Linked DNA regions of Pelodiscus sinensis. The main gene of each other region encodes a partner of the protein of the gene in region 2 in a complex. Links are inferred from orthologs where the notes say so. Each region holds a gene or a part of one and is shown on either strand. Other genes may lie near its edges. The genes, in order: EPAS1 and EGLN1.

Region 1 (16,285 bases), about 41 Mb from region 2:
AGGACCTATGGATCTTGAAAGGTGTGTTGTGAGGCATATTGATCCTCTTACCAGTGGAGATATGTCTGTAGGTTTCTCATCTGTTGCAAAATGATGGGGTCCTTTGTCTTCCTATTGCAGAGATGTTAAATGTTCACTTTATCTGCAATGGGTTTCTTACAACTGGTTCTAACCGGGGCGTACCTATACCTCTGAGGGTACTCAGATGTCTGCTAGGAGGCAGCATCAAGCTCATATAGATGGGGGAAAGGAGAAGGCTGCTGCAGTGGCAGAGTCCCGGACCCCTTTCAGTCACTGCTGGAGCACTGTGCGGTGCACTCTGGGCAGCACTAAGTGCTGAAGAGGGGGAAGGGCCCCACATTCTGGGCAGCACGGAGGGCTGTCTGGGGACCAGCATGGTGCACTCCGAGCAGCACTGAGGACTAGTTGCACTTGACCCTGCCCCTTCCACCCTCTGTTCCGCTCCTTCCAGGCGCTCAAAGCCACTGTATCTCCCCCCTTTCCCTGGAGCCCATGGAGGCTGTCAGTTCCCCTGGCACTATCCAAATCAGTACAAATTAAAATGTCATATAGTGAATTATTTATACTGCTACACTACACTGAAATGTAAGTACAATATTTATGTTCTAATTTATTTATTTTATCATATGATAAAAATGAGAATTCAACCAATTTTTCAGTAATAGTGTGCTATGACACTTGCATATTTCTATGTCTGATTTTATATACGAGCGGTTTTTAAGCAAGTATCTTGGGGGAATGCAAAACAGATCAGATTATTGAAAGAGGTACAGAAAATTGGAAAGGTTGAAAGCTATTGTCTTACAACATGTTAACTCTCATGATAAACCTGTTCCACTTTAGATATAACTGTGACACTTGGGTGTCTCTATAGTGCAATAAAATACTTGTGACATGCCCACCTTAGCAATAGGGGCTGTAAAACTGCAGCAGATGGTCGGGTTTGGGCTGGAGCTCAGGATCCGAGATCCAGTGAGTGGGGAGGGTGCCAGAACCCAGGATCCAGCCTAACACCAAACACACCATCACAGCCCTGTGAGTCTGAGTCAGCTGACATAGCCTAGCCCCAATGTTATATTACAGTGTAGAGTAAACATACCCTTTGAGTACCTTTCCCAGACTTGAAGAGCTCTGTGTGAGCTTGAAAAGAGATATAACCTCACCCACCTTTCCATGATAGCATTTACAATGTAAAATAATATACCCTACTGTGCCTCATTGGCCATCAATATCTTCACTGTGATATTCACAACAAGAAAGGGGGTGAAATGAATCAGCATGAAATTTCTTTTCTCCGCGAGGTTGTTTTTTTCATGTCTTGTAGCAAGATGCATAAATGTAAAGAAAGCAATTATAATGAGTTTCAGCCTAGACTGGAGCTTGAGCATTGTTTTTCCAACCATATGTTTGGAAACACTACAACTGAGCAAGAGGTATAATTCTATGGTCACATTTGAAATATGAATGGCAATTCATTATACAACTTCTTTTCATTCCTTGCAAATCAGGCTACTATGCTAGTAACAAAAAGCCCAATCCTTCAATGCTTACTCATACAAATACTATAATTCTGTTGATTTCAATGGAACTACCCACATGAGTAAGATCTCCTTCCATGAATACAGGTTGTAGTAACTGGTTCTACATTAGTTGAATTTCAAAGGCAATACTCGGGGGGAGGGGATGTTCCTTGCCTCTCTGCATAGGTTGTAAAACTCTTTAAAGGTAGGGAAATAAAATTTTGTTCACTGGAAGCTTGTAATTATTTTTAGATAATTCAAATGTTGACGTTTAGAAGAAGTACTTAAAAACACAGGCTATGTCTAGACTACAGAGTTTTGTTGGAAAAACAAAACTTGAACCTGTTTTTCTGACAAATTTGAGTTACATCTCAACTGTAAGCGCGTTCTTTCAACAGTAAATCGAAAGAAGAGGGCTTTTTGTGCCATTGGTAATCCTCATTCTACGAGGAAGAAGCCTCTTTGTGAAAGAGCTCTTTCGCAAAAAGGCGTTTGTGGACGGGAAAGAGGGAGTTTTTTCAGAAGAAGAGGGAAGAGGAAAAATCACAGGTGCCCTGGTGTCCATTTTGTCCATAGCAATCACTGCTTACATGCGAGATAGTTTCCAGCCAGTGTGGAAAAAAGCACGTAGCTTTTTCAATGCACTTTTGCAGTGTGGACACTCTCTTGCACAAGACGTTTTTTAGAAAATCTCTTCTGAAAAAAGCTTCTTGCGCACTAAGCTTGTAGTCTAGATGTAGCCACAGAGTTTCACAGTGCCCAGCAAACCTTGTTCTGAAATTTATATATTTGAATGTTTAAGTGTAAGAATGCTGCACTGTAAAATTAGATGTGTGGTAGAATGCAAGAAGAAAGATTCAGTAGATTTACAGTAAGGTAGGTCCCTAAATATAATGAATCTCATAATAACAGAATTCCAGTACTCAGGCCCTTCATACTATCCAAATAGGGTGAATATATGATAACTGAAGATAAGAACAGGTTACTAGAAAATGCAGTATTATTTAACAGAAAATCAGTATGTAGTACTCCACTCAAAGATGCCATTCAACTTGTATAAAATCCAAATATTTGTGAGTGGAATGAAAGGTGACAGAGGAACTGAAATCCACCCTTGTACTTCAATGCATGTGCCACTGAAGTCCATGGAAATCGGTTTTTAACAATTGGATTAGTTCTTTTGTGAGTAAGGATGTGTAAGCTTCTGTTGATGGTAATGCTCTTAGTACCAATCTTTCTCCGATTAAAGTAAATGAAAATTCTCATTCACCTTGGTTATGCAAAATCAGTCCTTTGAGGCAACAGGTCAATGGGAGTTGAGGCACAAAGTATCTCAAAAGAGTTTCTTAGCATCTAGAAGTACCAAGCTTTAAATATTAACAAAAGCATTCATAGCCATAACTAAACAGGGATATTTAAGCATCAGATGTTTGGTCTTTTAGTCAATTTTTTTACACTCCTGTCCCCTCTCTCCCAGCATCACACAGCATCTATAAATTTGCCCAGCTTACAAAAAAAATTGGTCTGACTTCAGTATAACGTCATTAACAATCACCAGGAAACTTTTCTGGTGACATAGATCATGAAATAATCTTACAAAAGTTCACTTAAAAATCACTGCAGTCATATTCTCACTCAGTAGTGAAACATACATATTTCTCATCGTATGAGTTCATTTTCTTGACTGGAAAGTCTCTAATAGATTTTTTTCCAGCAATATGTGTTCTGAATGAATTTATCAGGAAACACCAAACAAGCATTAACAATGGTAGCAAAACAGCAACATTGACAGTGTTTGCACTCATTTGCTTTACGCTGAAGACTCTTCCACATGGAACACTAAATCTTATGTTCTTGATAGACACAGAACAAAGTCGTCTTGACCCTGCAATGTTTCTTGAATTAAAAAAAAGGAATTATAAGAAAATAACCAATTGCAAACAAAAAAAAATCATGATTAAATAAAAAAACAAAGACATTTCAAATAGCTGAAAAAGAAGCTGTCAGAATACTGAAATATCATTTGAGAAAAACCTTTATGATCAGTTTGCATATGATCATGTTTGGAATATGAAGATTAAACGTATACAGTATTGATTACTCTAAGTTTATATAATCTTACAAACAAAATTTATTTTATTCTTTTAATGATTTTTTTAAATTAGTATTCTAAGAAGTATTTAAATTTTTGTTTAAGAATATAAAATGCCTATAAAGAAGTTTGCTGCTGATTAATTTAAAGTAGTGAGTCTATTCATTTTCCATCAGTTTGTGGTAGATTATTCGGATCAGATTTTTAGACATTATAATTCAGTGCGACAACATGACTGTTTTATATAAAATGTTACTCAGATCTCTTTCACCTGTCCTGAAATTCCCTTGTGAGAATCTGAGAATGATCTTTGATTTGAATGGAGCACAATGTAAAATGTCATGGATTATCTTTCATGGACTGCCTCTGAATTATGATGACAGAACTGTTCCTCAAGGCTCATGACTCAAGACTTGCATGGAAGTCCTACAAAACAGATTTTTATTACCATCATCATTTTTCCTCAGTAAAATTGATTATAAATTGTGCTAGTAAATGACCTAAGTTAGAGTTTCCAGCTATATATCTGAGTAGAAATCAAGTTAATACCGCAATAACTGACGAGCTAAAGGCAATAAATCATTATTATAAAAATGACAAATGTAAATAAAATATTTTCAGTTTCAGTTAGCTATGCAAACATTAAAAGCTCACCTTTATTAATACAGCCTATGAGAGAGTTAAATATTATTAACCCAATTCTGAGAGAAGGAAATTGGCACAGGAATGTCAAGTGATTTACTTAAGGGCCAGTAATATTAAAACTCAGAACTTAAGCATAGCCAGTAGATTAGAACTGAGATCACCTTACATTTCCATTTTGTGCTTTATCGAAAGTTTCTAAGGCACTTTAGATAAACAAACGCAAAGAGAGAAAAGAAGAAAATTCAGAAAGCCTCCAGAGCCAGCAGTGGTTTCATCTTCTACCCACAAGCCTTAAACCTGCACACCCTGTGGCAAGGACCACTCCTTAAGAAATGAACTTTTTAGCCATTCATTCTAAGTGCTGCAGGATGACAAAGAGTAACTGAACTACTTTGACAGTTACACTGTTGTCATGATTCAGTTGCCATTGATGGGCACAGTCCACACTACAAAACACCCATGGTTGGCCCCTGAGCTTCAGACTTGAGCTGCAGGAATGTAAAACTTCAGTGTAGAAATTTGGGGGTCTGTCTCCAGCTGAGTCCAAACATTTACACTGCAATATTACAGTACCACAATTGCAGTGTAGTCACATTGTATGATCTGGTCAGCTTCAAATTATTCTGAGCATTAGACAGTGCTCATATATAGTTTAGGTGTTTTAGGTGGGGGGAGGGGGTTCTGTTAAAGCTGTCTTTCATTAAAATTGATTTTTTAGTCTGAAAATTATGTTTATTAAACATACTATATAATTTTATAAATGCACCTTACTGTATGAATTTTTTTCATTCTTTTCTTCAAAACAGATTTGAGGCTACATAATATTATCCCGTACTTCATTCTTTGCATAGAGAGTTAACTAACATTTAGAACAAATACAGAGGTAAGTGATTAAAATGATTTAACCCTAATAAATTAATGTCTCATATGCTGATGTTTTAAAAAATACAATTTACCCAAAACCTCAGCGGGGTAGCCGAGTTAGTCTGTAACAGGAAAAACTTAAAAAACAACAAATAATCTTTAAGGTTCCACTTGACTAACAAAATATGTAGAAGGTATCATGAGCTTTCGTGGGCAAAACCCACTCTCTTCAGACCCTGTAACCCTATACTCCGGTCATCTGAAGAAGTGGGTTTTGCCCATGAAAGCTCATGATACCATCTACATGTTTTGTTAGTCTTTAAGGTGCTACTAGACTATTTGCTGTTTTTTAAGTTTTTCAATTTACCTAAAGTTATCCTATCTCTCATAGTGTATCTCAGTCCATTCATAGTGTAGCTCAGTCAATGATTTAGAACTAGCGCACAAATTAAAATAGAAATATTAAATACAATTTGTAAAAGCTTAGCATATATCAGTAAATGAAACTACTATATATGAAGATATTTCCTTCGTAAAGTACAGCTTTTATTTATATGTCTGTATTCAATGACAAAAGCCAATCTTGCAAACACTGATAGTATAAAATAGCTTAAATATCTCAACACAGAGGTCAAGCATGCAATTTGTAATTATTTGGACAGTATTTACTCATGCAAGTACTCTCGTTGATTTCATGAGTTAATTGTCTGCGGGAGTTTTGGACTATAGTTCATGACTTCTTTCCTTTTGTTTCCACCAAAAACTTTGTATGAAGATTCAGTAGGGAAATTATTCTGAGTCGTAATTACGGAGGTTGAATACCTTGATTTCTGTTTTCTTTGGATATATGTATTTACTAAGATACAATTCAATCCCTACTTTACATCCCTTCTTGCAACAAAAATAAACATAAGAGTAAGATATACCCACCTAGCCCATAACTGTGCTCAAAACACTTCCAGAGCCCTCAACTCTTAAGTAAAACAAATGACAGTTTAAAAAAGACTCCATGTCCTTCACATCTAATATTACATTCTAGTATTTCATCAGATCCTCAAAATTATGATGCTGCCTTATAGACCCCTCAATAGGTTGAAATTTATCAGCAATATGCAATAAATAAATGTTAACATAGTTTTCATGTTGTCCATGTAATTGTAATTATTTGTTTTGTTTAATTATTTCCCTCTAAAACACCATCTTCACCTGAAATATAATAACCTAACTGACATTAAAGATAATAAATCTTCATGTAAATTGCATTTGCCTAATCCCCTACTAATAAACTAACTGAGAATTGGCAAGACTGGAGAACTAGTATACAGACCACAGTCAACAACGAGTATGTGCATGATTTGAATTTCAAATGACCAGCTATGGGAGCAGTTATGTATTTCCAATTATACTGTACATTCTTCTTTGTATGAGGATGATTGATTCCCCACCAGAAAACAAAGCTTTCCCATTTTGTAGAAGTTAGGGTTCTTTCCAAGGGAGAAGAAAGTGGGAGTAAATATAACAGAGGTGAGGGAAGAGCCTTCGCCTATGGGTGTCAGAGACCTCTTCAATACAGCCGACCAGAAAAGAGAGACCTGAATGTTTCCCAGTGCATCTCTTCAGAGCGCCGCTTCCAGGACACTCACTTCCAATGCAACTGAAGTGCAGACTCTCAAAACAAGAAAGAGTCTGACTCCACTAGGAGCTCAACTCCCTCGAACAGCAGCTGCCGCAGAGACTAGTCGGCGTTCCAGTCAATGCTTGGGCTAAATGTTAGATTAGATTTAAACCGACGTCACAAAAACGGAGAGTTGCACTTTTTGCCTATACACCGGATTCACAACAACTAGACTAAGTAACTGACATTAGCCGACGGCCCCTGCGCTAGCCGAAAGTCCACAGGGAAGATAACACACGGTATTTTGATACACTGAGACGGTGGATGGGGCTGGATTAACGTGGAATCTACTCTGGTATCGAGCATACCCAGCGGACACTTAAGTGGGGAAGCGGCGGCGGCGGGGTTTCTATAGTGTGTAGGCTGCATGTTTCCTTGAAGCTCCCATGGGCGCATGAGGGAACAGGACTGGATCCACACTACTGCATAGGCTACGTTTCCCTATCATGTATATGACATCACCAGGAGCTTCTGAAACCACCTATTTGGGATCACTCCTTCGTGCTGGGGAATTCCTTCTGCCCTAGTCAGCCCCCTGCTGTGTGAACCCCCGCTATGTTGCGTGTAACCCTTCCCCTCCCGGCTCTTCTCGAACTCCAGTCACCTTTGCGAGAGCCACCACAGACTGGGAAAGGAAGGAGCTGGGCTCCTCCACATTTGCTAAAAAGTCTTATGTGTGTCGCTGGGAGCGGTTTTCGGTGTGGGAAAGTGATCTGCGCTGTTTCGTCGAAGTGACCTCTGCCCCCGCGTCTGCGGCGATCAGCCAAGACAATTCACTGCGAAGAGACATTTTTTCCTGCCGCTACTCCTCTCGAGGCCCGATCCCGCAGGCAGGCAGCGGAATGCCCTGCCGTGAACTTCAAGAGAAGGCGGCTCGGGCTCCTCACGACAGTAGCTGCTGCGGGATCCCCAAGCGCCCGCTTGCAGCCCCAGCCGCTAGGGCCTGGAGCGAATGCAACAGCCTCACACTCGGAGAAGCAATAGAAGTCACCCAGGTGTCCTTGGGATGATGGTAATTTAGCGGAGTCCCACTAACCATGCACCCCCCGGGCACCACTGCTGCAGTGACAGTTCCCATTTTAATTGCACCTTCGTATCCCCTCCCCCGACTCTGTCCGCCCCCAGTCTCCCCTCCCGCTTACCTTTTCTTTTCCTTGTCAGCGGTCATTATCGCTGCCCTTCGTGCTGCTTAAACCAACTCGGGCTGCCAACGAGGGCTCCTCAGTCACTGCTGCGAGTCTCCTATTGCCTCCCCCCGACAGAAAACCGCCCGGCAGCTTAGAGATCACAGGCTTGGGAGCAGGAAGAGAGGCGCCGGGAGGGCTCGCCGAGCTGACAGCAAGGCTGGTGCACTAATTGTCCTCTAGGAAAAGGCTGCGGCTGTCCTGGCCAGGTCGCCCCTGAGCTGACCATACAGTCTCAGGACACTGCCGAGGATTGTACAGCCTGCCCAGGGGGGGAAGGGGAAGGGAGAGACCGGGTTCGCCCTGGAATCTGAAGCTCTGCCAGAAGAAAGTTCTCACTTTAAAACTTAAAGCTTCCCTGGGCTCCTGGGGGCAGGTTCAGCCTCTTTAGCCCAGTCACCCACTCCAGCTGGAGCTGTCGGCAGCTCGTTCTCCAATGGGGACGGGAGCTGCAGGAGCCCTCCTCCTGCCCCGCCCCGCCCCCGGCCACCACGGCTCCAGCAGCACTTGCCGAGACCAGGTCAACGCCGCGAGGGGCTGCGGGCGCCTGGGCGGGTGCAGGCCAGCAGGAGAACCCCGAAGAGCGCGGGGGAGGAGGCGGCGCCCCAGCCTCGGGGCTGCAGTGGCACGTTCTGCCCGGCGGGCCGCGGGAAGTTGGGAGTCTCTCCTGGCGCTGTAGGACTCGCAATAGCTCTGCCCACGCTGGGGAGAAGGGGCTGGGAGCAATTCCCTCCCCTCGGCAGCCCCTGCTCCCGGGCCCGGGGGCCGGATTTCTCCCTCTCGCCCCCCTCCCCCTCTTTGCCTTGTGGCCGCAGCGAGCTGGGTGCTCCCCGGGCCCGCCAGCGCTTTCCCAGCAAAGCAGCGCGGGGAGACGGGGCGAGATGGCCGGGAATGGCAGGGGAAAGTGGCCGCCGGGAGCACCTGTCAGGCCTGGCTGGTCAGGCAGAAACGTGACTGGGGCTGTAAACATTGGCTTTTGGATGGCTTAATGGCCCAGGTTTCTTCCCCCCCTCCCCCCCGCCGCTGCTTTCCTCCCTCCTCCGCGTTTCTGTGGGAGGGCGGGTGTATTTTGTATTAATGGCGTTTCTGGATGCACTTGGTCAAGAGGAGTCATCCTTCAGACACGAAAATCAAGCCGCAAGCCTCATTTGTGAATGGATGCAGGAGATGCCTCTCTCTTCCACCTTTAGCTGACTGGTTGGATAAGGCTTCTCCTCAGACCAGGAGCCTGCTGAGGTGATGATGCCTCTCTTTGGGAACAGCTATCTTGAGGAAGAGCCACCAAGGCATTCGGTGGAAGTTAGAGCTACACAGGCTCCTGAGCCTTTGATATTAAGATTAAGACATTAGATACTATGATGATGTGGGGTCATAGTTAAGTGATTGCTTGCCTTACCCCTAAGTGTGCTTGGTAAAATGAAGTCTTGTCCCGACTCCTCACTCCCAGCCTACAGAACTTGAAATCCAGGACTTTCTCACAAAGTATTGCTCTGGTTGGATTTATGCCGCATACAAAAAGCTAATGCTCTAAGCACTTTCATAAAATGCATCTGTCATATCAATAGCCACAAATCCAGTAGCTATTCCTCAAGCTCAAAACCCAAATTACTCAACCACAGGTTGATTAAAAAAATACCCTTCTCACAACTAATTCCCGGTGCTCATGATACCATCCACATTTTTCATTAGTCTCTAAGGTGTTGCAAGACTATTAGTTTAAGTTTTTCCAGTTACAGACTAACACAGCTACCCCTCTGAAACTTTTAAACCGCAGTGCTCAGTTAAGCTTCTAAATACTAGAAGTGCTCAAAATAAGGAAGGTAAAGGCAACTTGCTCCAATGGAGAGCACATCTGTACATAAGTGCACAGTAGAGGATACCATAGATGCTGGAACTAGGGGTGTATGAGGTGCTGCCATACTGTCCATAGTTATCATATACATGGTTTACAGTTTGATGTAATGGCTGTCAGCACCCACACTGTAAAAATTGTTTCACATCCTGGTGAATACTGGAGCATAAAACTGCAAGGCCCTCATTTTACTGATTTTCCTTTCTTTGGGCTTCTACATTTTGTTTCTTTCTTCTCTTTTTTTAAAAAGCCATTGTATATTTATTGACTTGTTCAAATAAAAACAGCAATAAACTTTAAAATTAAGCTTGCTGATATTGTCTTCTTGGGAAATAAAGTACTAAGGCTTATCTCTGGTGAACTTCTTTGGAATATTTTACCTTGTTTTCAGAATTAATTGTACAAACTCTGCTGTGTCAAACAAATTCGTTCCTTGTACCACAACCTATTTAATTATTTTAGTTTAATTGCATTCATAGTCTCTACATTTGTCAGTAGAATTTTTTGTTAAGACAACTAAAACCCAAAACATTTTTTCCTCAGAATAAGTCACTAGTTTTCCTACACTTCAAACTAATGGAAGCAATTTAGCATTTTGCCTGTAAAAACGATTTCTCTATTATTTAAATTTTAGCAGTCTCCTCCTGCCATATTCATATGCCACTTCAAGAAAGTTTGGCCAGAGAAGTATTTTTTTATGGAATATGTGTTTCCCTATTAGTAATAAATTCTGCTTTCATCTGAGGAGCGTTACCTGCACTTGTATAACAGCAATATGATTAGATGGTAACAGTTTCTTATACAACAGAATCTACACAAAAGAAAAGCACAAATATTTAAAACCTAAGTAAACTTGGTTAAACAGAATTTGTTTAGCCTTCAAGTGACTGAAGAATGCAGTAGGATCAAAGAACCAGTCATTCATTCTCTAGATTAAGTTGAGATCTTAGTCCTTCACTGATTTTTGTTGATGTCACTACTACTCTCTGTATCTGAAGATTCTTTACCTGGCTAAACAACTTGATTTGAGTCAGACAAGCAAAGAATTTAAAATGGTTGTATTTCAGATGCACAGTAAAATTCAGATATTTCAGGTCTTGCCCATTGGCCTAGTCCTAGTGACACTGTTCTAGATGCCACATTTATTGTTCTTTTGACTAGCAGGGGTTGAAAGTACAGGTGCAGCAACAAACTGCTCAACTGTGACTCCCCAACGTGACTTAGAAATGCTGATGGACTCCAAAATATACCCTATCTTCATGGTAGTGATGATGTTGCATTATCACAGAGATAAGGAAAAACAAAGGATTTTCAGGGTTGTCAGCCATGCGTAAATTCTCAGAATCAACAGGGAGATCCTGGCATCATGGAAATTTTGCCACTAATTCCAGAGGCAGCAGGATTTCAGCAATAATTTCCTATAAAATGGTTCTCAGGGTGCCAAAAATGACAGTATAAACAATTAGTTCTCAATACTGGCAAATGAAAGAGGGAACAGATGCTCCACATTTGATGAGATTGTTCCAATTTTCAGCAAACCCAAACAGTCAACTGTCGTAGGAGCCAAATATACTTTTCAGCACTGCTTATACGATTCACAATGGGAAAGTAAGGCACTCTTCAGTACACGTATATAAAGCAGTAAATTTCCACCAGACAAAATCCTTGCTGGAGGCTGGAATTTAGATCCAGAAATACGAAATTTTATTCACGATGCCTCGTTACTCTTTTATATTTTTGGCATTATTAGAAGTTTAAAAGGCCACATTTGCTAACAGCAATATCTAAAAAGATACCATTTCCCTGAACTTAAAATAGGAAATACTGCCATATTTCAAGTGTACCACTGACTGTTTTACGCAACAACCACAGTTGCTGTGTAGAAATTAAGAAATGTGGTATGCCGTGCAACAACGTGCAGCAATAAAACAAAAAGACCAAATATTAAAAACATATAAAAGTCAGAAGAACCAATGTTTTGGTTCGGTAATAGCAGCTGGACCTTTTTGCATAGATGGCATTTGCATTACTCTATAAGCTTTTATGATGTCACATATAGGTGCAGTATAGTCAGATTAGGAGTAGCTGGATCAACGGCTGGGGAAACATCCAGGAGAGAGGATCTTCCATAAAGTGACCTTTGTGGAGCTTTGTCAGTGCACTCTCTTTAAACAGACAGCAAATAATAGCCTGCTGTGTAGATGCGGACTCATCTTTTCTTTCTCTCCCCCTTGCCCAACCCACCCTGTGGCTGGAAGCACTTTGTCCCTTCAAAGGGTATGTCTGCATAGCAGTGTTATTTCAGAATACCTGACATTATTCCGAAATAACATAGTCCCAAATCTACGCAGCATGCCACTATTTTGACATAATATGAAAATAATGTCTAGCTGGAGGACTTATTACTCCAACTCCTGTAACCCTCATTTTACGAAGAGTAAGGGAAGTCAGAGGAAAAGTGCTCTTTCTCGGACTTCCTGCTGCATAGACAAGTGCCAAAAGCCAAAATAAACTACGTACCTCAAGTTGCGTAGCTTATTTCAGCTTTAGCCCTGCTGTGAAAATGTTATAAAAAGGGGTGGAAGAGTTGAAATAAATGGCATACTGAAATAAAAAGAAAGCCATGGAAGTCTAACTTGTTTTTAAACAATCCACAATGAAATAGACAAATTTGAAATTCCTATGGGTTCCTAGATACTAGTTAATCCCAGCATACCAAAGTAAGGTAAATACATACTTTGAGAACACAATTTTATGTAACCAGTCTAATCAATGTATGCAATGTGTTTATTTTAACAAACTAGTCTCTGAAATACATTTTATTTACAGCATTCCAGAGATAATACATGCTAACACAGTGTATGTATTTGCTTAAAATGCTATGGAAAGTCATATCTACACATTATTTTCAAACATGTAATGATTCTGGGCCACTACTATAGAATGTTGAAGCCCCGATCCTTGAAGGTATTTTGCCTCCTAACTCTATAGAAGTTAGAAACCCAAGTATTTTTGAGGATTTTGTCCTAGTGCCCCCATGGAGAGCTCAGCACCCACAATTTCCACAAAGTAAGTGAGGTTTTAGGACACACAGTGCTTTGTAAGATGAGCCCCTTCAGCCTCTTCTTAAAAAAAAAGTTCTAAACCACAGTTTTTTAAAAAACATATCCACTGCACATTTTTCACATGGGCTTACATCCATGAAAAGCTTGTTTTGGCTTGTTTATTTGTGTTTGTTTGTTTGTTTGTTTTTAAAGACATTTGCATTAGTCAAGTTCCAAACCATGTAGAAAACTTCTCAATGTCTTAAAATGAATTGTGAATCACAACTTTACTGCCAGGAGCACCAGGGCTGTGCCCTGAAATCCCCACACATGCTTTCATTTTTAATTTAACTGATTCTGAGTGGCTTAGGGAGATGAATGCTTCTTGGATTAATTTATTTTTGTCCCCCCATGCATGCCTTTTCTCACCTCATCACTATCAAACAATGCAACACTGTATCACAACATAATGTTGACATCTGAAGTGCCAACCATAACCCAATGAGCTTTTCTCTGTTTTTACTGCTTGTGGCAAAGACAAGTTTTTGATTAGGTTTTATCCCGTTAGCTCTGCAGAGCCAATTCCTTGAGAGCAAGTGGGAGGCAGCATGGCACAGAGGTAGGCCTGAGATTTGGACTACCTGACTTCTATGCTTTGTCCACATGTTCAAGTTCTCCCAGTGGTCTAGGAAAGCCACCTCTATGAGAGGAGTATATAAGGCTATGTCCAGACAACAGGCTTCTTTCAAAATAAGGGTTTTTTGGAAGAGATCTTCTGAAAAAACTTCTTTTGAAAGAGTGTGTCCATACACAAAAGCACATTGAAAAAGCGATCTGCTTTTTCGAAAGAAAGCATCAAGACTGATTGGATACTATCTTGCATAAAAGGCCACCCAGAACCAATTCAGGCAGGGCATTAGGTCAGCAGTTGCTTTCAGGTGCTGTTGCCTAAGGCTATCTGAGATGCGTGCTTAAAGAGACCCCCCTAGACAGCAGCTTCTCTGCTTCTGCTGCATGCTTGCCAACCTCTCTGAGGGACAGTAAAGCTTTTGCAGTGCCTGCTTTGGTTGCCCAACTTTTTGACACCTCTGGGCATGCAATGGCCCCATGTTACCGTGCTGCAGGTTCTACAGAAGTTTGTGCAGACCGTCTTGACAGTCTTGCCCCACCCAGCTCGACGCCAGGCTCATTTGAGAGTCCCTCTACCTGTATGCAGGAGCAAGGCCCTTGCACCCGCACCCCAGCGTAGAGAGATGGTCATGCACTTGAAGATCTCGGTGTTGCGGTGCTTGGATCTGAGGTCCTGAAATGTCTCCTCCTCACCCCACAGCTCCAGGTGGGACAGGATCTCTGCTCAGGACCAGGAGGGTGCCTGACTCTTGGTCCCCTGGGCTGGGTCTTTGGACCCCTGGGACTGCTTCCTGCAAGAACCAGAGGGGGGCTTGTGGCTCCATCGTGGGTGGCAAGGCCTATGACAGGGAGAGCCGCGTGGTCAGGGTGCTGCTTTCAGTCTGGCTTCCTGCCACAAGGCTTGTCCAGGGTGCCTGCAGCTTTACGACCTGGCAGGAGACAGGAACTATAGAGTTGTGATTAGTATGGACAGAGTGTCCACCAGGGCACCTGTGTTATTTCCTGGAGGCCTCTTCTTTTGAAAGAAAACCCTACTCCCCATCCACACATGCCTTTTTCCAAAAGAGCTCTTTCGGAAAAGGCATTCTTCCTTGTAGAAAGAGGAGTACCGCTGTCAGAAAACCCCCTCTGTTCTTTCAATTTACTTTTGAAAGAACGTGATGGCAGTGTGGATAACTCAAGTTTTGTTGGAAAGATGGCCATTTTTCTGACAAAACTCTGTAGTGTAGACATACCCTAACAGCGCTGGGAGCCTTTTTACACTAATGTGTTACAGCAATGTAACTTGCCGCACTCGGAGTGGGGGGACAACTCATACCTTTGAGATGAAAAGTTACAGAGCATTTACTTGCCAGTTTAGACAAACCCCTAGTGCCACCTCTGCCACTGGCCTGCTGGGTGTCTATATCAGTTCACGTCCCTGTGCCACAGTTTCCCCATTTATAATGGAGGATAATGATACTAACATCCTTTGAGATCTAAAATTCAAGATCTATTCTTTTCTGGCTCATGGCACAATTAACTGAGGTATAGCTGCAGAATATTTATTATTGGTGATAAAGAAAAAGCAAAGCTCATACTTTAGATCCCATGTTTAGTTAGGAGGGTTGGCAGCTAATTAAGACAGTCTTTATAAATTGGGCAAGCCTGATATGAAATTCAGTGACACAGATACGGGATGCCATTTTGACCATCATGTTTCAGACTATGGGTCAAACTTTCAGCTGGCATAGATCAGCATCACTCCACTGAGTTCTCTGCACATTCTATAAACTACTCTAAGAAAATCTTTTAAATTGGCCGACTTCTGTAGTTTTCATAGAAACAGAGCGCCTGTTGAAAGCACTCCACAATCAAGCATGAAAATAGTATTTCAGAGGAGTGGTGTTTTTTTTTTTTTTTTGAAACTTCAAGATACTGAACACACACCTTCAAGACATTTTTTAACAGATAAGCTCAGTCATTTTGAGGCATTGATTACTTACAGGCACATTCCTGACGTTTCAGCCATCACACACCCTTGAGAAAGGCCTAATGGCCAAAATGCTGGGAATGTACCTGTAGATATTAAAAGGCTTAAAATTACTGAGCTTATCGCTTCACCTTTTTTGGAAGGTGTATCCTTAGTCTATGATGAACAATTCACAATATTACAATGGCTCACTTCAATAATGCATACTGACGATGTTTTATTGCTAGAAGAAAGATAAAGTATTTAAACTTGCCACCAACAGTCTCATATAACTAGTTGCTTCTTCTGTGATAATCAACAATTTGTCTTTTAGAAGTTCATTGCATTGGGATCTATTTAAAAAGAAAAGTGGTGACTAATGAATATTGAAACAATCCCCACAAGGTTTTGGCAAAGCTTATCTGCTAGAAGACGAGAAATTGGAACAGCATGTATGAAATTTACATATTTTATTGAAAGAAGGGTTTATTCTCCTTTTTTCCTCCAGTTTATTATCTAGCTGTTTTTCACCTTACTGGCTAGCATTATCTGAGGGTATGTCTACACTACAGAGGTTTTTTTGAGAAAAATGGCTGTTTTTCCGAAAAAACTTCAATTACATCCACACTGCAATCGCGTTCTTTCAAAAGAAAATCGAAAGAACAGAGGGGTTTTTCTGACATTGGTAAACCTCTTTCTATGAGGAAGAAGCCTTTTTCCAAAACAGTTCTTTCAGAAAAAGTTGTGTGTGGACGGGGAAGAGAGAGTTGTTTCACAAGAAGAGAAAAGAGGAAAAAGCGCAAGTGC
Region 2 (16,275 bases):
TTGCCCAGATGCCCAGCAAATCTGTTGGCTCCCCTGCACTTGTGACACAGGAGTAATGAATCAGCTGGGTCAGGCTACTGTGAAATCAGAGGCAGGAGACAAACTAAAGCTCAGAACCATTAATCGAATGCCAGGAATTACACTAGGTCAGGATCCCTGTAAATTGAGCTAGAGCCAGAAGGCAAACAATTCAGAAGAAGGAGGACTGTCTTGCTGTTCAGACCGTTTCCTGTTCCTGCTGCTGGCTTAAATATGGCCCGTGGGCCAATCAGCTGCTCTGGGACATCACCAATAGAACAGCAGGAAGGCAAAGCCTCAAACTGGGGCTCCGCTTCATGGGTCCTAGGTAAGCAGCTGGTAGCAGGCTGCCATATAGAGGGGTGGAGTGTGGCAGCTCCCATAGATCCAATTTTGAGACTTCTGAGTAATAACAGCATCTTCCTTTGCTTGGCGGTGTCTTCTAGGTGATGTGGGTCCTGGTTTCTCATGGTAGTGCCTGTGAAAGACCCACATCAGGATGAGAGTGTGAATGTTTTCAGCTGGCTCCAAAGTGTATTATCCTGGACCACAACCTTCCCAGTCAACTAGGTACTGTAACTTGTCCTGCTTGATCTTAGAATTGAGGACTTTTTGGATAATATATTCATTCAGACCTTGTACTTGCACTGGTAATGATAGTGATTGGACTTTATGAGGAAATGTGTTCTCAGCATAGGGTTTTAGAATTGAGACATAGACTAGGGGTTGGACTCTAAGGGCATGTCTATACAACAGGGCTAAACTCAAAAAAAGCTATGCAACTTGAGCTATGCTAATTGCGTAACTTACATCTAAATAGCTTATTTCAAGTTTTGTTGCTGTTTACACAGCAGTTATTTCAAAATAGAGCACTCTTCCCCTGACTTCCCTTACTCCTCATACAATGAGGTTTACAGAAGTCGGAGTAAGAAGTCCGTTATTTTGAATTTATTTCAAAATAATGGGCTTGCTGTGTAGACACACACTATGTTATTTTGGAATAAATGATGTTATTCTGAAATAATGCTGCTGTGTGGACATAGCCTAAGGGATCAAGGGACCTAGAGCTCAAAGGTGACCAGGTTGATTTGTCGCTGATTCTGGCGTGGTCCAAGGAACTGGTAACCTAGTATCCAAGAAGATCTGTCATGTGGCAGTGTTCTGTAGAAAGCTATATATTTTGTCCTACCATGTAGATGGGGCCTTGTTGTCTAACTGCATGCTTTTTATAGTCCCCCTTTGCCTTTTCAGGGTATCCCTTCACCTCCTCTTGGATGTGCTATACTACATCTGAGACCAATGGGTTGGGGGAAGGACATTGGGTAGTTGTGGGTGAAACTGGGGAAGAATGGTACCTATAGTTGACAAAGAATGGATGCATTAATATATGAGAACTGTGTTTGTGGTAACTGTGAAGACCAACTGTCCTGGTGATGGTTAGTGTATGTCCATAAATACTGTTCTAGGATCAATTGATTCTTTCCATGTGGCCATTTGACTGAAGATGGTAGGCAGAGGACAGGTGTGCCTGGAATCCTAATAGATGTAGGCAGTAAACTGGTGTCCCTAGTTGTAAGTGATGTGATCTAGAAAGCCATGAAGATGGACCACATGATTTATCCAGAACTGGGCAGTTTTCCCTGTGAGGATTCTGATAGGTCCACCATAAAGACCAAGGAGCTGTCCGTGTAGGGATGAGATAGAGTGTTTAGAAATTGGTGGAGACTGTAGGATATCTGTCATGGAATCTTGGTTCGGGCACACACCTGGCAGGAAGTGAAAAAGGTCTTTATTGTGGAATGCATAAAAGGCCACCAGAAGTCCCAGGACATTAATTGTCCTCTTTTTTGTTGCCCAAATTGTCCTACCAGGGTGGTGTCATGGCACAGTTGAAGAGTCACTGCTCTTGGAGGTCCTGGTGGGAACATACATGCTGTCCCTTACAAATGTGATTCTCTCCTGGGTGTCCTGTGGTTCTTGGTTGATAATGGCCAACTCATCAGATGTAATTCCAAAGAGAGAGAGAGAGAGAGAGAGAGAGAGCGGACAAGCCTGAGCAGGTCCTGGAAGTAGGTTGCATTGATGAAATTATGAGATTTAAGAATATGGTTCTGGACTGGATCTTCATGAGTAAGAGCCATTACTTTAGGACAGGAGTGGAGAACCTTTTTAGGGTTGGGTGCCATTGATCCACAGAAAAATCAGTTGGGGGCCACACACAAGTGAAAAAATAACCCCCCAAAACCCCTCAGGGATGTGGTCCCTGACTGAGAAGGAGAAAGACACTCCCTACAATCCCTTTGCACACCAGAACCTAGGGGGGCCTAACCTAGTAGATTTTGTGTGTTCCAGCCCGGCGGTGGGATAGCACCACAGGAGAAGGCAAGCCTCCAAACCCTATCCCTGGCACAAAGGGGGAGAACCAGAGGGTACGTCTAAACTACATGTCTCCGTCGACGGAGGCATGTAGATTAGCCAGATCGGCAGAGGGAAATGAAGCCGTGATTCAAATAATCGTGGCTTCATTTAAATTTAAATGGCTGCCCCGCTCTGCCGATCAGCTGTTTGTCGGCAGATCGGGGCAGTCTGGACGCGACGCGCCGACAAAGAAGCCTTTCTTGATCGGCACAGGTAAACCTGGTTTCACGAGGCATACCTGTGCCGATCAAGAAAGGCTTCTTTGTCGGCGCGTCGCGTCCAGACTGCCCCGATCTGCCGACAAACAGCAGATCGGCAGAGCGGGGCAGCCATTTAAATTTAAATGAAGCCGCGATTATTTTAATCGCGGCTTCATTTCCCTCTGCCGGTCTGGCTAATCTACATGCCTCCGTCGACGGAGGCATGTAGTCTAGACACACCCAGAAGGAAACCCCTACTGAGGAGGAGGAAATTGGACTCTTGGGGAGACGCCAACCTTTTGTCTCCACTTCTTCATCTATGAAATAGGGATAACACTTATTGATCTATCTCCCAGAGGCTTTGAACTCTGGATGCCTATAACGCAGGGCTACTCAACAGGCAGCCCATGGGGCGGTTTGGGTTTACATGGAGCACAACATGTGACCGGCATGTGGGATCCTTTGAAGATGGCCTCCACTGGGAACATGCTCAACATCAGTGAGGTGAGATGAGCATTGAAAGACGCAAGCGGATAGGCTGGCAGGAATAGACGGGTACAGGGTGTTGGCATTTCTAGCCCGCCGGGAGGAGGTGCTGGCAGTGCCGGGGCATTGTGGGAAGTGCTTTGTATTCATGCCCGTCAGTGTGAAAGAAGCTATTTGCATAAATATTTGCATATATATGCAACCACACTTAAGTTGTGGCCCTCGGCATGTGCTGAGAGTATCACTGTGGCCCCCGTGGCTTCCAAAGTTGAGTAGCCCTGCTATATAGTTTCTATATCTAGCAGTATTTTATAGCATCTTCATAGTGTTAAATGTATAAATCACTGTATAAATGCTAACTTATTATTACTAGACCCTGAAAAGAGAAATCTGTTCCAATAGCTTACCTGTGGTAGGTATTTCTAATGACCCCATTACATTAGAAGGTGAAGGGCTACAAAAATTATCTTGCATTAAGTTCATGCTAAAAAACCCTGCCCTACAAATTGTTTACTTGTGTTTTGATTTTTTGTTTGTATTTCCCCAAGATTTAAAAAAATGTAATAAAGCTAATGTTTAAAAAAGTTTACATAGGTTAAAGAAAAAGAGATTCTGTACATCTGGGTGTCATGCTTGAATTATCAATAGATAAAAGTTTTGCTTAAAATCGTATAATTCATAAAATACAGAATCTGCAATAATCCAAATATAGGTGCATAAATTTAACAATACAGTTTAGATATTTGAACTGAATAAGTGGTATATCACTCATGGAAAGTTTTATAGAGTGTTGATTGGGGAAAGCGAAGATATTAATGAGTGGAGATTGACCTTTAGTAATTCAGAATTTAGGGTAGACTATCCATTGGAAAATACAATCCATCACGGAAGTATTTGAGTTACCTTCCCAATGGTGATTCTTGTGGGCACTCCTCTTCATCTCTCATGATTTTTCCAATGTCCAGTGATATGTTCTATGTAGATGTCTCTCGACCACCTGATGACATCTGATACCATGAGTTGCTGCATTAGCCAAGTGTAACAATGTCCAACTCCACATGCCCTCAGTACTTGCTCATGTGCTAAGTTCTCCAATGATCAATGCATGGGTTTGAACCTCATAGCCCCTATCTCTCAGGATGTTAGCCGGAGGGACATACTTCTCCAGTTTTTGAGATGGAACATTGCAAAAGACCGGGGTCCTATTCTTGAAGGGCACTGTGACATACACTACGATGATCTTCTTCCTGTGATGATGATGTCTGACCACAGCTGTCTGTCTCTTCAAGGGATGGCGAAGTTCACAGAAACCTTCCCCAGAGTTGGCGGGATAGCCCTGACAAGGCAATCCTGGATGGCATTGTGTCGCAGCTGTCAGGCTCTGGAGTGTCCTCATTCCTGTGGGGGAGTGCTCTATTCAGTGAAACACGGTTGAGCTGAGCCCAATGGATGACCTGCCAGTCTGCAAATTGGGTGCAGCTGCCTTTGGGGAGAATGTGGTGTCCCACTTGCATATCAACTCGAAGGCCTTGCCCTGGTCTGGCGTCCATTTCAGGTTTTCAGCATAATGGTAGCAAATGGTATCCTCTGAAGTCCTCTCTAGCATGGTGCTGCCAAAGTGATGATGGAGTGCTTCATCTTCTTCACCTGTGGCACTAGAACTCCCAGCTCCTAGCATTCTTTGAATCACATCCAGGGGCAACTGATTCGCTTCTCCCGGCATCATGTAGCATTGTAAGTGTGAGTCCAGAGTGAAGCAAAGGCTTCCCCATCTCTGCAAAATTCTCCCTCCAAGGAGACACTCAAGTAGGTGGAGACATCTTGGGTTGATTCTGTGGAGCCCTGGTGATTTGCTTCCTGTCAGCATCTCGCATGGCACTCTCTGCAATGCTCTTTACGGTGGTGTCTGCACATGTCCAGAGGTGGAAAGCATGTGTGATCACAGTAACATTACACAGGTCACCCATTTGAGGGACGTTGGTGCCTTCCTGCCTGTGACAGATGTACACCATGTCATTGCTGGGCCTGTAAGGAAGAAACATCCACTTCTCAGTTCTTTGATGGGATTGTCTGCCTTGTTGAGGGGTACCTTCACCATGGTAAATGCCCTCAGGATGAATGAAATACGGGAAATCAGGAAGGTGCCCCAGGCATTGATCCTTTGCTGTGATGCCAAAAGGGAGGAATCAATGCTGGCTTCATTGTACAGGATCTCTGTGATGGCGTCTTCGGGTGTCTGCTGGACACAAAAACCTGAGGGCATGCCGAGATGCTGGTACTCTTGCCTGTCCTCAAGCAAAACCATGGATTCACCCTGGATCTGGAACTTCATTGTGTAAGCCAAGTCCCTGATGCTGCTATCTACGTACATAGATGCACAGTTACTAGTGCTGAAATAGAGGCTCATCCAATTGGCTGCTGCGCTGATGACATCCAATATTAGGTGGAGGCTCTCTGGTTAGTCTGTGATAAGGACCAGATCATCTGTATAGGCCAAGATGTTCACTTTGTTCACATATTGGTCTAAACTACCTAGACTGCTGGAGGTGGCTTGGATGAGTAGCTCCATGGCTAAACTGAAGATAATGGGACTGCGGGGACAGACTTGCTTCATGCCACTACAAATGGGAATTTCCGGAGTCTCTCCTTCCATGGCAGTCTGAAGGATAAAATTGTGCTTGTAGCAGTCTCCACATGACATGAAGCCCTTCTATATGGAGTTGATGGCTTCTCCACTCACTAGCTGCAAGGCAGCTCGTATATAGTGAAGCAGAGAGATTGCTCCAATTGCAGGGGTCATCTCGCTCACCTTTCTTGTAGACAAGCACCATCATGGTCTTTTTCCAGGAGCTGAGAGTATTGACATATTGAACTACTTGCATCTGTTGAAACCAGGAACTACTTGCATCTGTTGAAAATGGCAGTTAATACCAATCAGAGTCTATGATTTTTTTTTCAGGAGGTTGTAGAGAATACCATCATTTCCTGGAGCTATGTTTTTGTTGTTGGTTTATCTACTTGCTACTTCCTGTGGTGTAAAGGCTTGTTCAAGATCTTCTGCAGAGTCAGTCCAGGGTAGAGGACGAAGGCAGTCTGGACACTGCATGTTGCTCTGAACAATGGAATGGGCTTGCTGGTGTGGACTCACTGTATAGAAAACTGACCTAAACTCCTAGGCTACGTCTACACTGGCCCCTTTTCCGGAAGGGGCATGTAAATTTCACTAGTCGTCGTAGGGAAATCCGCGGGGGATTTAAATATCCCCCGCGGCATTTAAATAAAAAAAAAAGCCGGAAAAGAGCGTCTACTTTGAAGTAGGAATAAGACCCTCCGGAAAAGGGCACTTTTTCCGGAGGATCGGGGCCAGTCTAGACGCTCTTTTCCGGCTTTTTTAAAAGCCGGAAAAAAGCGGCGGACATTTTTATTTAAATGCCGCGGGGGATATTTAAATCCCCCGGGGATTTCCCTACGACGACTAGTGAAATTTACATGCCCCTTCCGGAAAAGGGGCCAGTGTAGACGAGCCCCTAGTGTAGATCTGGCCTCAGTGACTCTATCTGTTCACATTCTACTAACCACCATTTCTGTGCCAATAACTCTCAAAGATACCTCTCCTATCAGGTACTACAACAGCCTGCACTATCATAGTATCTGACTGCCTCACAATCTTAATCCTCACAGCACTTCTTTAATAGGGAAGTACAATTATCTTCTTAATAGTACTTAAGTACTTTTAAGATAGGGAGGCTAAAAGTGGGATTCACCAAGGTATTTATACACCTAACTGCCATTGAAATCAGTGGTCCTTAGGTCCTAAATCTCTTTGTGAATGCCACCCTAAATTATTTGCTTACGGTCATTAACAGATCTGGGACTCAAACCCAAGTCTTGTAAGTCCTAGGCTACCTAGCCACCTTGGCTGATCTATCTCCAACCATAGATACAGCATGGTACATTTAGCTAACATCTTTTGGCTTTCACACCATCAGCTTGAAATGGCAAAAACTAACTACCTGATTTGTTCTCTCCACTTCCAGTAACACCACTAGGAATCAACCTATCACTAAAGCCCAGAATGCAAATGTCTTTGAGTTGCTCTCCCTATCTCAAAACATCTGGGGCTGCTGCGTCTAACTCTTGTCCTTTTTTGTCTGTCATTTTATAATATTTTGTACTTCAGTATCACACTTTTCAGTGGAGGAACCTGGTGCACTTTACTAATGTGGGTAAATAATACTGACCCCCTTTATAGAGGAGGCTACTGAAACATCAAGAAATTAAAGGGAAGCCAAACATTTGTAATTGTTTTTTTTTTAAATAATTTGTATCTCTTCCTAGATGTTGTTTAACAATCCAACTGTTTTTCTTTTTTGGGGGGGGGAAGAGGGTTTTCCTCTCCCCTTTTACTCTGCGAAACACCCCCTCCCCACCATCCAAAATAAATGAATAAATAACCAAACAGAGGAAACTATGTACATGAGAAACCATAGGGTAATTGACTATGCAGAAAGTGTTTTCAAATGTACAATTTGCTAACCTTTCTATTGTATTAACTGTAGACCTTATAACAGGCCTGGGCAAAATACAGCCGGATCTGTGCCCACCTGGCCACTGGATCCGGCCCACAGACACAGCAGAGAGCCTCAGGCAGACTCCGTGCTTGCCCCACATGCACCCCCATACCACTCAGAAAAGGCTGGCACAGCCGTTTCTCTTTCTCAACTGTGAGTCAGGAAGTGGGGGGTGGGAGGGGGAAGAGGGAAAAGTGTTGCTTCATGCGCTGCTCTGCTCTCGCCTTCAGCACAATCCCATTGGCTGATTTCTGGCCACTGGGAACTAGCTGCTTAAAACAGGCAGTGTGGGAAGCACCATTTCCCTCTCCCCTCAGGCTCTTATTCACCAATGCACATGGCCCCTGAAGCATGTTAGTGGGAGTGGTTTGCAGGCAGGCAGAGAAACCTGCTGGGCTGCTGGCTGGGAGTCACCCATGTAAGTCTCCCTGCCAGAGCCTGCCTCTGGCACCCCAATCCCTCCCCCCTCCCAACCCTCTACCCCCTCCCAACCCTCTACCCCACACCTCATATAAGGCAAACCCTCTGTCTCTTTCCTGAACCCATACCCTGTCCCAGACCCTGCACCCTAATCCCCTGCCCTAGGTCACAACTGCCTCCTTCCCTCAACCTCCATCTCAGACACCACACCTCCTCTATTAATAGCATGGAAGAGTGAGGGCCTTGACCACTTTCCAAAATCTTGGAGTGGCCCCTCTCACCAAAAATTTTTGCCTTATAAGTAAAGAATTAACGAAATAATTTTCAGACAGCAGTGTGAATTCAAGATCCGTTTCCCTTTAAGTGACTTGCCCAAGGCCAGTCAGTAGATCAGTGGCAGAATTTAGGACGTATGTCAACTGTCCAACTATATACCAGACACACCCCCTTCTTATGTTTGTGCAGTACTGAGCACATGGCTGCTATTAGATACAAATGTGTCGTTCATGTATCAGGCAACAGTTCAAAGCACAGAGAAGTAAAGTCCCTGGGGGCCAGAATGGAATTCTGTAAAATGTGGCTACTAGTTGAGCCCAAGGTTTTGGTTTGGCCTAGCTCTAACTGGACTCGAGAGAGAGAGCAAAGGAGGGTCAGTCGACTCCTATTCTGCCAGGGAGGCTTAAAGCGGGTAAGGGGGGAAACCCACCCCATGTGCCCTAATGCAAACAAATCACGGCCTTTTAGGTGGCGGAGGAACTAAAACCTCCCCGCAGGAAAGGGAGGAGCGTCCCAGCCCCACCCCCAACGCTGCAGCAATGCTGAGCTGGCCCGCACTCCCCCTTCCTCCGCGGCCCCGCCCCGGCCGCGCTAGCTGGCTGGAAGTGGCGTACGTGCAAAGCGGGCAGAGATAGTGGCGCCTCCTCCTCGCCCCCGCACCCTCCCCCCGAGTCAGGCAGTGGCGAGGCGAAGGAGGAGACGCTGACCCGCACCGGGAAGAGGAGGAGACCCCCCAGTTCCAGGCGCGCAGGGGAGAAGCGCCAGTCCCGGCGCTCCCAGCTGCTTCCCTCGCCGGGGCAGCGATGAGGCGGTGGCGAGCCTGAGCCGCCGGGGAGAGCAGAGCGGCCTGGGCTCCGGCGGGTGCCCGCTCCCCGCCCAGGAGGAGGCCCGGGCTCTGTCGCGGGAGGTGGGCAGGGGAGCGGAGGCCGCCGCGGAGCAGGGACGGGGGCGGCCATGATGCAGTGAAAGCTGCCCGCCCTGCCTCGCAGCCTCCCTCCCAGCGCGGCCGGCGGGACCCGCCTGAGCGCTGCTGCCCCCACGCGATCGCCGGAGCAGCAGGGGCAGCGGCGGCGGCGCCGCCATGGCTAATGACAGCGGCGGGGCCGGCCAGGGCGGCGGCGGCGGCGGCGGCGGCAGCGAGCGGGACCGGCAGTACTGCGAGCTGTGCGGGAAGATGGAGAACCTGCTGCGCTGCGGCCGCTGCCGCAGCTCCTTCTACTGCAGCAAGGAGCACCAGCGCCAGGACTGGAAGAAGCACAAGCTCGTCTGCCGCAGCGGTGGCGGCGCGGCGGCGGGAGGGGGCGCTGCCGAGCACCGCGCCGGCCTCCAGCCGCTCGCCAGGGCTGCGGCGGGAGCAGGCGGCGGCAGGGAGGAGGGGGCCGCGGCTCAAAAGGTGCCGCCGGGCTCGGGCCCCGGCGCGGAGGGAGAGGCTGTGGCTGCGGCGCCGCTGACCAACAACCACGTTCCCGCGGCAGCGGCTGCGCTGTCTGAGGCGGCGGCCCCCGCCGAGGAGGAGGCTGCGGCTCCGGCGGGGGAGGCGGGGCTCGTGTACCGGGACAAATCCAACCTGTACCCGGGCGGGGGCCAGGTCGGCGGGGGCGCGCTGCGGCCGAACGGGCAGACCAAGTCGCTGGTGCCGCAGCGGCTGGCGCTGGAGTACATCGTGCCCTGCATGAACAAGCACGGCATCTGCGTGGTGGACGAGTTCCTGGGCAAGGAGGTGGGCGGGCGCATCGCCCGGGAGGTGCGGGCCCTGCACCACACTGGCCGCTTCACCGATGGGCAGCTGGTCAGCCAGAAGAGCGACTCCTCCAAGGACATCCGCGGGGACAAGATCACCTGGGTGGAGGGCAAGGAGCCCTGCTGCCAGACCATCGGGCTCCTCATGAACAGCATGGACGATCTCATCCGCCACTGCAATGGCAAGCTGGGCAACTACAAAATCAACGGCAGGACGAAAGTGAGTGACCCTTTTTCCCCCCACGTCCCTCGTTCACACCTGCGGCTTGGTCACTAGCCCGAGCCCAAGCTCCCCCGCACTTTGCTTTTTTCCTGCCCATCTCTTCCTCCTGTGCGCAGTCCACCTTTCTAGTCGCTCCTGCAAGACCAAGCAGTGGCCTGGCCAACGTGTTAGATCCTCTCTTCACACAGCCCTTCTGTCACACACTGAAGGGGCAACTCAAGTTAGAGATGAAAAATACAATTGTTTAGTCTGTTGGCTCTTGGGAGAAACACCACTGAGGGGCGAGCTGCCACTGATGCCGATATTGAATATCTTAGTCAACTTTGGGAGAGTGAACTTTGTCAATATTGAATATCTTAGTCAACTTTGTCACTGTGCAGCACCAAAGAAACTCTGCTGGAAATAGCAAGTGTGAGATTGCAGGGACCAGGATCCTAGGTGCTTTAATTGTTGTGTTCTCTAATTCCGTTTAGAACCCTGTAAAATTATCTTTGTAAGTGTAATCTTGGTAAAATAGGCTTGGCAGGGTCCAAGGATTGAGTAGTCCTGGAAACTGAATAGCTCCTCTTTCCTAAAGGGTTGTCCCTAAAGGTCAGGGTGGGGTAATGTGTATTGCTGATGAGTGAGGTAATATCTTTTATTGGACCAACTTCTGTTGATGAAAGACAAGCTTTTGAGCTACAGAATTCTTTTTCAGAACTGGGACCCCCAAAAAAGTATTACCTCACTCACTTTGTATAACATCCTGCAGCCCAGGTGACTAAAACTACACTGAATACAAGAGTTATTGCTGCTGTCAGTTCTGTGTGTGTTTTGTGACTGACTTCCATCTTTAGGAAAAACTTTAAAACCAACAAATACACTAGTAGCACCTTAAAAACTAACACAACATGTAGAGAGTATCATGAGCTTTCATGGGCAAAACCGGAAGAAGTGGGGTTTTCCCAGAAAGCTCATGATACCATCTACATGTTTTGTTAGTCTTTAAGGTGCTACTAGACACTTGAAGTTTTTCCTGTTACAGATTAACTCCGCTACCCCTCTGAAGCTTTCCATCTTTAGGACAGTCAGTGAGCATGCTTTCATAAATGAGACCTCTCACATGGAAAACTGTAATACTTTATTAAATGTCTGAACTCGTATGGCACAATCCTTGTTCAGAAATTGAGCTTCAAATAATGCTCTATCCTCACATGAGAGAGATAAGGCATGTCTGTAATTATACATAAATGTCAAGGTTGCTACAGCACTTGCTGTTGGTTCTAAATTTTCCACTTCTCTATTCTCTTATGGGCAGGACAGTTTTTTGTTTTGTGACAGAAAGCTCGTGTTGTACATGTGGGAAAATGAGTAGTTCTGTGGCATTTGTTACAGTAAATATATAGTTTTTGAAAATGATGCAGTTATATTTCCTGTGCTTAGTTTAGGTGGCTGACCTTGAGGTCTTTTTCCTGCCTATAAAATATAATTCTGAACTTATAGGGTATCTGTTGTGAAAACTTGCACTCTATACAAAGGCAAAAATGATCCTCCTTTTAACTTCTGTTTGAACTGATGGCCCCTAAAAATTTGGAATGTGATGCATTGTCTGTAGTGCTCCCCTTAAGTAATATGACCAGTTTGGAGATTTCATGCTACAAAATATTACATCAGTTTCTCATGATTGCTTCTGTTTATATATTCTGAAATAGTAATTCTTGTTACAAATATTTCTAGCATTATTTACTTGGTGTTTGCTTATGAACACACTCTTAGTAATGAGGGTTTTAGCATGTATAATAGTCTGTTTAAATTACCATGAGCTACCTTGGGGTGGTAATACAGGAAGTGCTCTTAGATGGTTGCATAAAACTGCTGGATGAGACTTAGAGTGACTATATTATGTCATATTACAATATCTGGTGCACTTAGGAATATAACGAAATGGAAAAAGTATTCAGGTGTGGGTGTGTGTTAACTTGACCTGTAGTGAAGTTATAATCTTATCGGGCAGTGCTGTTTATATAGCCTACTGTAAAATGTAAGCCTTGAGGAGAAGAAAGTTGTAACTGATGTTTTCTCCGCTAGTTTTGCCAAAAATGAGTACCTCCATGGTTTCCTTGATTTTTGTTTTTTTTGTGGGGGAGAGAGGGGTCGTTTTTGGCTGAGACACTAGTCCTCTTATCAAATTCCAAGTTTTATGTCAGTCATCCTTTCAACTGTTTTCTTTGGGTTCTTAAATGGGGGGAGGGGTAGAGAGACTGCATAGGGCATCTTAAGTTTAGTAGAGGACTAGTTAAAAGAAATAATATCAACCATTTTAAACATTTGCAAGAAAGTGAAAATGACGTTACAACAAATCTGACAACTTGCTGCTTCCTTTGAAGAACAAGAATGTTAGGGTGAACTGCTAAGAAGCATCAGGGGGTAGCAGAGTTCGTCTTAAGTTTTTCCAGCTACAGACTAATAGTCTTGCAGCACTTTAAAGACTAACAAAACGTGTAGATCATATCATAAGCTTTTGTGGGTACAGCCCACTTCTTCAGATGAATGGAGTATTAAAAGTCCAGTTCCAAAATAAAGAAGAGATGGGGGGATGAGGAGGGAAAAAAGAGAGGGGGGGCGAATAGCAAATTGAAGTGTTCATGTTACATGAAGCTGATGGAGAAGGTCAAATTGTTCCAGTACCCATTGTTTGGTTGGTTAAGTCATTAGGATGTGGAAGGTAGTGTGCTAGCCAGATAATGTCTTTATTCATACCTATGTGATGGGGTCCCAAACTTGTAAATGCAGTTAAGTTCCAATGTTTCCCTGTGTATTTGGCTTGTGAAATTGGCCTGAAGCAATCTGTGTGTGTTGTATTCTGACAGACTTGTTGCTGCAGAGCATCAGCTAATAAGCTATGGAGGAGAGGGAGAAACTGGAAGGGGGGAAGAACCCAGCCCCTAGACTACTTCTCCGTAGCAAATTAGATTTCCCTGTCCATGGAAAGTGTCTACTATTTTGTTTGTGTAGGTTGGTGTCCTGACATTTAATTTGTAAAGCTATTATGTTGCAATTGGCTAGCTGACATACTATCATTGTGTAAGTTTCTTGTATAACTCTGCAGCATGGGATTTGTTAGCCAATTCGTCCATCAAGTGATTGTTCAACTCAAAAAAAAAATCTCAAAGTGAATATAACAAAAGTCTCCTAAAATTTGTCTCATTGTTAGATTTAAAATGGGAGCAGTACTTTTGAATGGGAATCCTTGCATTTTTTTCATGGCTTTTGCCTCTTTGTTGTTCAGACCCGCACCTTACAGTAGATGAGTAACGTGTTTGTAAATAGCAAGGCTAGGATTTAAAGTTGCCATACAGCATCAAACCATTAGGTCATCTGAAGAAGTGGGCTGTGCCCACGAAAGCTCATGATACCATCTACATGTTTTGTTCATCTTTAAGGTGCTGCAAGACTATTAATCATTTTTTTTAAGTTTTTTCCAGTTACAGACTAACTCGGCTACCCCTCTAAAACTTTTCATCTAGTCTGTTTTCCTACCAGCTTCTGACAGTGGACAGTAGCTGGTACTTCAGAGGTGGCTACACCTGCACTGAGGAAGCCACTTTGCTAATTGAAAAGTCTCAGGGTAGCCATTAAGAATGTTAAATTGTGGTTACCTGACTAATTGTGGAGTCAATACAATTTGACTAAATGATTAGTCGATAACCGCTTTGCGGAGCTTCAGCAGGAGTAGCTCCAGGAGCCAGCTTGAGCAGGAACTGAGAAGTTCTGGCTCAAGATGGCCCCTGGAGCCACCCGTGCAGTGGCTCTGAGCTCTTACTACATTTAAAATGCAGAGGCGCAGTGTCCCAGACCAGCATGAGCTGGGACTGCTTGGTCCTGGCTTGCACTGGGTCCAGCAGACCCTGTTGGTGGCAGCCAGCCCTGTCTGCTGTGAACAGAGGGTTCTTGGTGACAGCAGACCCTGTCTGGGGTGGGGGCAGCTCCCTGTTGGGATCCCTATGGGTAGAGGCTGTTGTGGGCAGCACCCTGGAGATGGTGCTGGGAGAACCGGCTTTTAAGCCGGCTCTCCCCTAGCACCAGCTCCTGTCCTCCCCCTACCTTGCTGCCTCTCAAAAGGCAGAAAGGGAAGGAACAGTCAGTCAATACTCCACTCAACTACCTGACAAGCTTATGCTTATCAGGTGGTCGACTACTCGCTAACATCCCTAGACAGAGGTCTGCTGGCTGCAGATTGGATCCTAGTGGGCTGCTGCAGCCCACTGAGATGGAGGGCCATTCATGCAGCCCGCTTGTGGCTCTTGGTTGTCCATCGCTGGTCTGTACTTTCTGAAATCGCTGGGGTTGTGTTATGGACAAGATCACTCCAAGAGAAAGAGCTTAGAGCACCACAAATAGCCCACTACTGTTTTATGTATGGCCCACAAAACATTTTGTTTTCCATTGCTCACATGCAGGGTTGCCAGTTTCTGTTGATTGCTGTCCATGTTATGTTTCCTACAGGTATTACTGAAGTGTCATGCACTTGAAACAGGAGCATGTGAAGTGAGGTGTGTGCCGATTGTGCATAGCACTCACTCTGAGAGCCAGGAGGTCCTTCTGTATACAATCGAAGTACTGCTATGGTCCAATCTGTACACCCCGCAAATTCTCTGTATGCAAGCACCATTAGCAAAACTACTCTATCCCGGGAAACTGTCTTGGTTACAACAGCCCATTGAGATGGAGCGGCCCATTTGCTAGCCTAGGTTTTCCATTGCTGGGTTAGAGAGATGTTTCTCTTCTCTTTGCTCTTTTTCCTTTACTCTCCTGATAAGAAGTGAATGCTTTTGCTGCTGCAGTGAATGCAGTCCTAAGCAACTTCAGCGGAGACCAAGTGGAAGTCAGTGAATTGACAAAAATCTGTCCCATGAGTGGTTTAGGGGGAAAGACACATGGAAAGAAGAGGGAAAAGTCTCAAAGGTTAAAATTGCCAAAGTATTTGGTCTAGTGTGTGTTTTGGAACCAAGTTTGTTCACTTACTCCCACAGCTAACAGATTAGGAGTGCTGTGAAAACTAATTTTTTTTTTTCCTACATCAGCCTCCACCAACCATACAGAATTGCACTTGTCACTCATTTAGAGCGCTTTCTCTGTATGGCAAGAGTAGCATAGTGAAACTAATCAGGATCACTTGATTGAGTAGTACAGTTCTGGGGAGAGAGATAATGGAGATGAAACCAACACGAGAGAGAGGACAGAGACAAAGAGGACGAAGGTGTGAGGATGATGATACGTGAACAAAAATGGGGGACCAGTTATGGAAAAGGGGCAGTGTAATTGAATACTTTTCATGTCAGATGAGAACCCAAAATGTAGTGGGCAAGAGAGGGTAGAGTAGAGACTTCTTACACAATTCTAACTACTGGCTGCTGGATAGGAGGGAGGGAAAGAAGGCTCCACATTTATTATATAACTGTTGCATAACAAGTGTTGCGAAAAATGAATTTTCTTTCCTCCCCTCCCCCCCTTCTTTGTGTCCCAGATTTAAGGGAATTGCAGTGCGTTAAGAATCTTAGCAGATCACAGGGGTAAAGAGTGGGGGATCATATTGGGTTATTGCCATTTGGCTTTGCTGGTGGGACACCTTTCATTTTGGTCTCTGGTTAACAAGCTTAGTTTTGGCTGTGTAGTCCAGTCAGTTTCAAGACCTCTTTTGAACAGTGCTTACACCAAAAGTGTAGGAGTTTTTACTACCAGAAACTGTTTTTCTTTTTTGTAAATGAACAGTGGCACACTAATCACACTTCTTCTATATTAGACCTAGGCCTATTGATCCAGGTTCATATAAGCCCCGACATACGTAAGTATCTGGTATAATGCTCTGTGCTGTGCTATAGCTTCCATGTTTTTTGTTGTATTAAGTAAAACTTGCCACTGTCCTTGTAACAAGCAATCTTGC

Evidence for each region.
Region 1: the proteins of EGLN1 (region 2) and EPAS1 are in contact, whole or in part, in a crystal structure (PDB 7Q5X), measured with the Homo sapiens proteins. The link is inferred for Pelodiscus sinensis from reciprocal best matches to the Homo sapiens genes EGLN1 and EPAS1. Residues at the interface, in NP_071334.1 of Homo sapiens: Gln239, Leu240, Val241, Ser242, Lys244, Ile251, Arg252, Trp258, Asp277, Ile280, Arg281, Ile292, Asn293, Gly294, Arg295, Thr296, Lys297, Tyr310, Val311, Arg312, His313, Val314, Asp315, Pro317, Asn318, Asp320, Arg322, Arg370, Trp389, Tyr390; in NP_001421.2 of Homo sapiens: Asp525, Leu526, Glu527, Thr528, Leu529, Ala530, Pro531, Tyr532, Ile533, Pro534, Met535, Asp536, Gly537, Glu538, Asp539, Phe540, Gln541, Leu542.

The regions. Positions count from the first base shown.
Region 1 is NC_134713.1:164,508,207-164,524,491, forward strand, and holds the start of EPAS1 (endothelial PAS domain-containing protein 1), read right to left. Parts: upstream 8,406-16,285; 5' UTR 7,986-8,405; coding exon 7,960-7,985; intron 1-7,959.
Region 2 is NC_134713.1:123,944,208-123,960,482, reverse strand, and holds the start of EGLN1 (egl nine homolog 1), read left to right. Parts: upstream 1-8,941; 5' UTR 8,942-9,470; coding exon 9,471-10,349; intron 10,350-16,275. UniProt on the Homo sapiens protein: Cellular oxygen sensor that catalyzes, under normoxic conditions, the post-translational formation of 4-hydroxyproline in hypoxia-inducible factor (HIF) alpha proteins.